Cricetulus griseus: one gene and its partner. The protein of the gene in region 2 interacts with the protein of the main gene of each other region in a pairwise test. Links are inferred from orthologs where the notes say so. Each region holds a gene or a part of one and is shown on either strand. Other genes may lie near its edges.

Region 1 (3,652 bases), on a different chromosome or scaffold from region 2:
TGTATCAGGCTTGTGCTAAGTACCTTGCCTAGCTTACCTACCTCCCAGTATCTTCACAGTCTTTAACCCTGAGAAGAGGGTGTGGCCTGACAGATTCGAGAAAACAAGGTGCTAAGGGGCAGCATAGGAATTCCCATTCAGCACCCATGGGTCTTTTTCCATCACCTTTTTTCAGGCTGGGAATGACAAGAGTGTCAGTTGGGTGTCAAGTAGGGATTATGCCTGGGATGTTTCGATACAGGGACATCAAGGTCTTTTAGAAGGTGTTTTTGTGGAGGACTTAGGGGATGGCTCAGTCTTGAAGTGTGAGGGCCAAAATTCAGTTTCCAGAACCCACATAAAAATGGCAGGTGTAGTGAAATGTACTTGCAATCCCATCCCTAAGGAGCCAGAGACTGGAGGATTGCTGGAGTTTACTGGTCAACTGGTGGATGAACTCTAGGCCAGTAAGAGAGCCTGTGAATAATGTCCCTGAGGAAGATGATTGAAGTTGACCTCTGGCTTCAACACATACAAGAGCACACATAAATCCCTCCCCCCACGTGCATATACACGTACACACATCTGCACACTCACAGTTCATACATATTCACAGGCACTCACAGGCACAAATGCACAGAGAGGGAAAGAAGCCGCTTTCCTGCCACTTGACACTTTTGAGGATTCAGTGGTGACAAGTGTGTGTGTGTGTGTGTGTGTGTGTGTGTGTGTGTGTGTGTATGTGTGTGTGTGTGTAACCCAGAAACCAAATATAGACACCAGTAGACTGGCTATCTCAATGGCCCCATGTGTCTGCTTCTAGCTTTCCCCATGACTGACATGTATAGCCTATGAAGGAGCTGGTCGGTTGTGCCCTCTCCCTCGCTCTCTTCCTCCCTCAACTGGATTAGTTTTAAGGGAAACCCCAGGCACAATTGATCTATACATATTTAGCATGTAGTTCCGAGAGATAACGGCTGCTTTTGGTTGTTGTTTAAGTGTGACCACAATGACAGGTTCACAGTGTTAAAAAAGCAAGCATCCTTGGGGTGAGGCTAATTGACAAAAGCTATTGGCACACAGCTGGTATTGCCAGGCAGTGGATATGGGTAGGGGAAGCAAAAACTGGTCCTTCAAGTGGCTGGGCCCTAAGACTTGAGACTTACCTGATTCCTTTTAAGGAGGAGGAACCGAAACTTGGGGCACCCTCTTTTACTCTGATTGTTCCTGGGGCACAGCGGTGAGAGCAGGGCCTATTTTTAGCCCTAAGTCTAGACATGGAAAGGCAGCAAAAGGAAGGGAATATTCGAGAGGGCCAGGGAGAGAGAAGAGTATGAAGGAAAGAGAGATTGAGAGTAGGAAGTGAGCCTTCCCCTGTGGACTGTCAAGGGCAGGCTCTGCTCTCCTGGTTCTGAGTGAACTGTGAGCCTGCCTGTTTCTGTGCAGTCCTGTGTGCATCAAGGTGTGTGTGTGTGTGTGTGTGTGTGTGTGTGTGTCCGCCCTCATAAGCAAACAGCACTACAGGAAGGCAGGGACATCCCATGAACACTGTTTGGGGTATTTCTTGTGCCTTCTTAGTGGAGAGTGGATTGTCAGACAGACCACGCTTTGGTTTGCCCACAGTGAAGCCGCAGCAGCTGAGCCCCACTCGTGTATCCCTTTTATTTTTTCCCCTTCTGCCTCTTAACTGTCTTTCTCTTTATGTGCCTTAAGTGGCTGCTGAATCAAGTTTCCAGAACATTCCAGGCATAGGTAATTCTATCTATCCTTCCCAGGAACCTTCATGTATGCATAGCAGGTACTTCTAAGCTGGAGGACCCTGGCTCCCCTGGGAATGTAGTGGAGGAAGGTGCCCCCTCACCAAATTTGCTGGGGGGTAGTTGAGAGGGCAGGGTTACCAACTTCTCCCTCACTTGAGGAGAACCAGTAATCAGGAGCTGGGAATTCATTAGCTCATCAAGCACCATCGGGATGTTGGATCACTAATGGAGATCAGGGACAGGGGGACAGGGGAACATAGGGACAGGGAGAGCTGTATGAACTGGTTCAGGTTCCAGCCAAGTGTTGTTGTCATCCACAATAATGTTCCAATTCAGATGCCATGACCCCATCAGAGGCCATGCCAGCAAGAGTAGATACAGATGTCCAGATGGGCACACTGTGGAATCCAAGGTTCAAGGTCAGGTCAGACTATGAGCCTGACCTTATGTGGACATAAGCACTGACAGGTGTGTGACCCTGTGACAGAGTGTCTGCACTGTTCAAACACCCCTCTGTGATATTCCTGGGAATCACACAGGATATTGGAGTATCTGCGATGCTGAACAACTTGCTCAGGGTCACACAGATTGAAAGTTACAGAGACAGCTGTGAGTCTTAACTGTGCAGTCCGCCAGCCTGCAATAGGGGACTTACTGTATTGTATTCCTGGAAACTTCTTCAGGCTCTAGATCTTGTTCTTTGAACTGCTTAGTCACAGACTTTGCTGCTGGGCAAATTTCCCCAGTGAACCATCTCTCTACTGTTTGTTGCCTTGGGGACTGAGGAGGAAGGGGCAGACATCTTCAGCACTATAGCCTAGCGGGTGATATTGGCTTTGTGTCCACCTGGTCCATTTTTCCCTCTTGAGAAAGCAACAGGTTTTTCTCATTAGGAAAGAATGGTTTTCAACAGGTTGTGGCCCCACCTTCTTTCCCCGAGGCCTGTATCCCACAGCCTGCATCCTGCTGGCAGAGCTACTGGTGGATGAGAGCACTAACTCCGCCATGTCTTTGAACCTTTTGCAGAGCTCTGGAGCTGAGCGGGGGCAAGGATGAGATCTCCCTGCTGGTGGAGCAGGAGTTCTTAAGTCTCACCAAAGAACATCTCATCTTGGTCCAAGAGAGCTCTGGGGAGCTGGCAACACCTATTGTCACTCCCCAGGGGACCCGGGAGCTGGCTCCCTGCTTTCTTGTGCCTCCTCTGGGGGCAGACAGCACTGAATACCCAGGATCCTCTGTAACAGCTGGTGACAAGCTTCGGGAGCAGAAGCTGTCCGTGCCCATCATCAGTAGCAGGCAGGACTGTGATTCTGCCATGTCTACAGTCACAGGCATCCTTCGTGCTGCCAAGGTCAAGAGTGTCAAGGGAACAAAGGACAAGAGCCATAGCCTGAGTGCCTCTAATTCAGAGATCAGCAAGCTCCTGGCCCAGTTCCCACTGAAGTCTACCGAAATGTCCAAGGCCCCTGACAACAAGATGGTGCTGGAAGAGACCAAGGTCATTAAAGATTTCCTGCAGAATAGCATGTTCAATGGCTCTGGACCCCGGGAGCCCATGGGGCTGGGCCCATTCCTGCTGCTGCCACCCCCACCTCCTCCTGCACCCCCTGACAAGCTCCCTGAGTTCTCTCCTCCAAAAAGGCAGCTTCCAGTGTTTGCCAAGATCTGCTCCAAGAATGAGGCTGACTCCACTCTTGATGGCCACCACTGGATTGGTGAGTGGGCCTGGGAGCAGGGAGGTGAGGGGGTTACCAGGGAGGAGGGCCTTGATCAGAAAATATGATCAACGTTATAGTGCATCTTGGTGCAAAGCAAAACAACGCAGAGTCTCTCTCTGTCTCTGTCTCTGTCTCTCTCTCTCTCTCTCTCTCTCTCTCCTCTCCCCGTGTGTGTGTGTGTGTGTGTGTGTGTGT
Region 2 (3,652 bases):
TCTGTCATTTATATATGGTTAATGATTGAACACAGTGTCTAATGAGGAGCGCAGTCATGTTGTATTGGTCTGAGGAGAGGGAAAGAACTGAAATGCTTATTCCACATCAGGTTCCTGAGTCAGGAGATTTTAAATGTATGCCCTATGGTGTGACCCTAGGTTCTTTGTGTAGTCTGGCCCACCCTGCCCCCAGAATGTACTGTGGGGCCCTGTGCTTTCCTGCCCCCACTTCACCCTCATTTCTTCCTGGGAAAATCCTACCAATTCTTTTAGGTTCTAGTTCCGATGGTAACTTGCTTCCTCTGGTTTTCAGCCAGAAGCATCATGTCAGTGTTGTATATTTTAGGAGACATCAGACACATTGTTGTATTCAGTGTCTCCCATCGAGTGTGTTTACACACATATCCTAATGACTTGTCATTGGCACCTAATGGGTACCTTGAAGGTTTATGTGTTGGTTGTGACAAAGAACACAGAAGAAATGGCAGTCAGAGAAGCAGAGCAATGTCTGCTGGCTCCTGTGTAGGTGCTGCATATAATCTCCGAACTTTAATGCTTATTAAAATAATGGCAGTCAACACCATTAAGGGACATAGTGACAAGAGACCAAAGCAAGAGAAACGAAAGATTTACTTTTTTCTTTTTAAGTCTGTCATATTGCTTTGGTTAGAGAAGAAAACTTACTGTCCTCATGACACAGTTTTAAACTAATATTAAAATTATATGGGGCAGTTAGTTCATCGTGTCTTAGAAAGAACATTGTTAGAGGAGTCATGGATCTGTTGAAGATGAAGATTGACTTCTGGGTTTTCCACACCCTGCTCACCTGTCACATTGTTTTCTAGGTCCGGACCCTATTTGTCAGTGGTCTGCCCCTGGACATCAAACCCCGGGAGCTCTACCTGCTCTTCAGACCATTCAAGGTACTTTACAAATGTTTCCCTGGGGCCTTAAGGGGGGGCGGGAGGGATATGTTGGAGCCAGTGCCTGCAACAATCTTTTTTTTTTTGTTTTTAGATGTTAATAAGCAAAACAAAGTTAACATCAGAGTTCTGACATCTCACTGGGATGCTAGTCTGACATTGTCCTTAGGTCCCAGCATTCTCTATTCCATGTAGATCAATTTTAGTAACCTTCAGCTAGAGGCACACCCCTAAGTGCAGAGCATAAGAGTTTCAGAGTGGGTTAGGAATATACTAGCCGTCTGGTAGAACACTTACCTAATGTGTATAAGGCCATGGATTTGATTTTTTTTTTTTTCAAGCATCACACCCTCCTTCAAAATGGTATAAATAAGTTACTACATATTTATAGTTGAAATGCAGCAATATGATCTGAGCCCTGTTGGTAGCTTTATTGACTGGAGTAGCGCTTTGGACACTTCTGTATGGACTTGAATAAGCATTCTTTGGGATTAAGAACCCTGTGCTTCTTTTACACCAAACACATAAATGTTCAACAAGACAAAATAGTATATGCTAACTTTGTATGAACTGAAGGGAAATTTCTAGTGGAGTTAGCCATTTTTCCTATGGAAATTCGATCACTTAAGAGATACTAAATATTGCTGGATTGAAATTTTTTGTTTTGTTTTGTTTTCGAGACAGGTTTTCTCTGTGGCTTTGGAGGCTTTCCTGGAACTAAGTCTTGTAGACCAGGCTGGTCTCGAACTCACAGAGATCTGCTGCCTCTGCCTCCTGAGTGCTGGGATTAAAGGCTTGTGCCACTAATACCCGGTCTTGGATTGAAACTTTTAACAGTTGAGCTTAACCTTAAAGTTGGCTAAAACTGACATAACTATACTGTCAAGAAGAAACGTTGAACATTGGCCTTTGGAAACTTTAATGAGACCTGAAGGGCATCATGGGTTTATGACCTGTGGGTTAAGGGAGGTTTTGTTAGTAGTAGGAAGATTACTGAACCCTGGTAGAGACAGGGGGTTTCTGATCCAAGACTAACCTGCTTGAAGACAATTGAGCTACTGGATTCAGCTTGGTAGGGATGTGGCAATGCAACAAACCCAAGGGTTGGATAGGAGAAAGGGTCAGGAAACAGCTAGGTATGATCCCCAAAGATGTGGGTATAGTTGATGTGCTGGGAAGGCACGTGTGAGTGTGGAAAGATGGTCATTCCCATAATGCACCAGTAGCAGTGACAGCAGAGGGAACCCTTTGATTCCTGTCTGTGACCTCAACATGGTATGACCCAGCTAGTGCTGTTTCACCCGAGTGAAATAGCATTTGTCCTTGGTGTCTGAGACCTTCAAGGTTTTAAATCTCATTGATTTCTAAGAGAAAGAGCCCCTTGTAGAGAGTAGGAATAGGCAGTGCTGAAGGCCTTGGGTGGAAATGTTTACATTAACAGTTTTCTACTGGGAATTGGTGAGGATGAACCAGTCCCTGCAACCTGGACAGAAATTCCAATGCTGAAGTCAGGACCTTGGGACATCCCTAGCAACCCTCCTTTAATTTTAGCCCAGGGCAGCTGGCCCTGGTTGCTGATCTGTCTCTATACAGATGTGTTTAGCGGTTGCTCTTGTCAATTGGTGTATTTCCTCCCCTTTGTGTCACCTGTCAGTGCATGCTACTAGCTATTGATCTTTCCAGAAATCAGCTAGAGAAAGACAGGAATGCCTTCAACTCCTGCACATGAGCTGGAACAGAAACACAGGGGAGTGTTTCATGTTCTTATCAGATTCCACCATGGAAATGGCCTCGTTGAGTAAGCAAGCAGAGATCAGCAGAATGCTGCATGTCTCCTGCTCAGCCCTTCCTGGTAGTTTTCATATGGCTATCTTGTTTTATTTTGCAATATTGGGGGCTAAATCCAAGGCTTTTGTGTATGCTGGACCACCCTGTGTGTCTTATGTCTGTGTCTATAATGTGTCCACAGCCAACTTTGGAGGCATTGAGAAGTGCAACATAGTTGATAGTCCTTTTCTTAAGTGACTCACTTGAGGAAGATGGATTTATAATTCTCCCTTCCTTCTTTCTAAACTTGCTCTTTATATTTCAGGGCTATGAAGGTTCTCTTATAAAGCTCACATCTAAACAGGTAAGAATTTAGAACTCCTAAAAATGACTGCCTTTTGCTAATGAAGCCTGATAAATATTCTTTTGTTTCAGCTAGGATTTTGACCTATGTGTTATCAAAATTGAAGGTGAAATTGATTGGGATTAGTATAGGAAAATGTGTGTAATTCCACAGTCTTCAAATAGGAAGTTTCTGAGGTTCAGAAGGTACAAACAGTGCCTCCAAGGTCTCTAGAGTTATATTGAAACTAATTTGTTTCTTCAATAAACAAATTGTATTATCCAGATTCTTAGTCTTAATTTTTTGAGGTATGTTATTTCCTTTATGAATACATAGATGTTTTGCCTGCCCCTATGCTGTGTCTCTTCATCCAATACCCATAATGGCCAGAAGAAGCCCTCAGGCCCCTGTAACTTTAATTACATACAGTTGTGAGCCATGATGTTGGTGCTGGGAATCAAAGCTAGGTCTTCAGGAAGAACAGTCAGCTGAGCCATCTCTCCAGCTCTACTCAAAATTATTGAGTAGTTCTCTTGATGGTGTATTTATAGACATATGATAAGGAATCACAAAATCTCAGGTGTAGAGTGAGATGTACAAAATAGAAAGGCTAGAGGTG

The links.
Region 1: the proteins of Rbpms (region 2) and CUNH1orf94 interact in binary tests that used the Homo sapiens proteins (3 or more experiments, as listed by UniProt). The two-hybrid records come from large-scale screens. The link is inferred for Cricetulus griseus from reciprocal best matches to the Homo sapiens genes RBPMS and C1orf94.

What each region holds. Positions count from the first base shown.
Region 1 is NC_048595.1:25,048,379-25,052,030, forward strand, and holds part of CUNH1orf94 (uncharacterized protein C1orf94 homolog), read left to right. Parts: intron 1-2,765; coding exon 2,766-3,454; intron 3,455-3,652.
Region 2 is NW_023276807.1:50,950,716-50,954,367, forward strand, and holds part of Rbpms (RNA-binding protein with multiple splicing), read left to right. Parts: intron 1-845; coding exon 846-923; intron 924-3,015; coding exon 3,016-3,054; intron 3,055-3,652.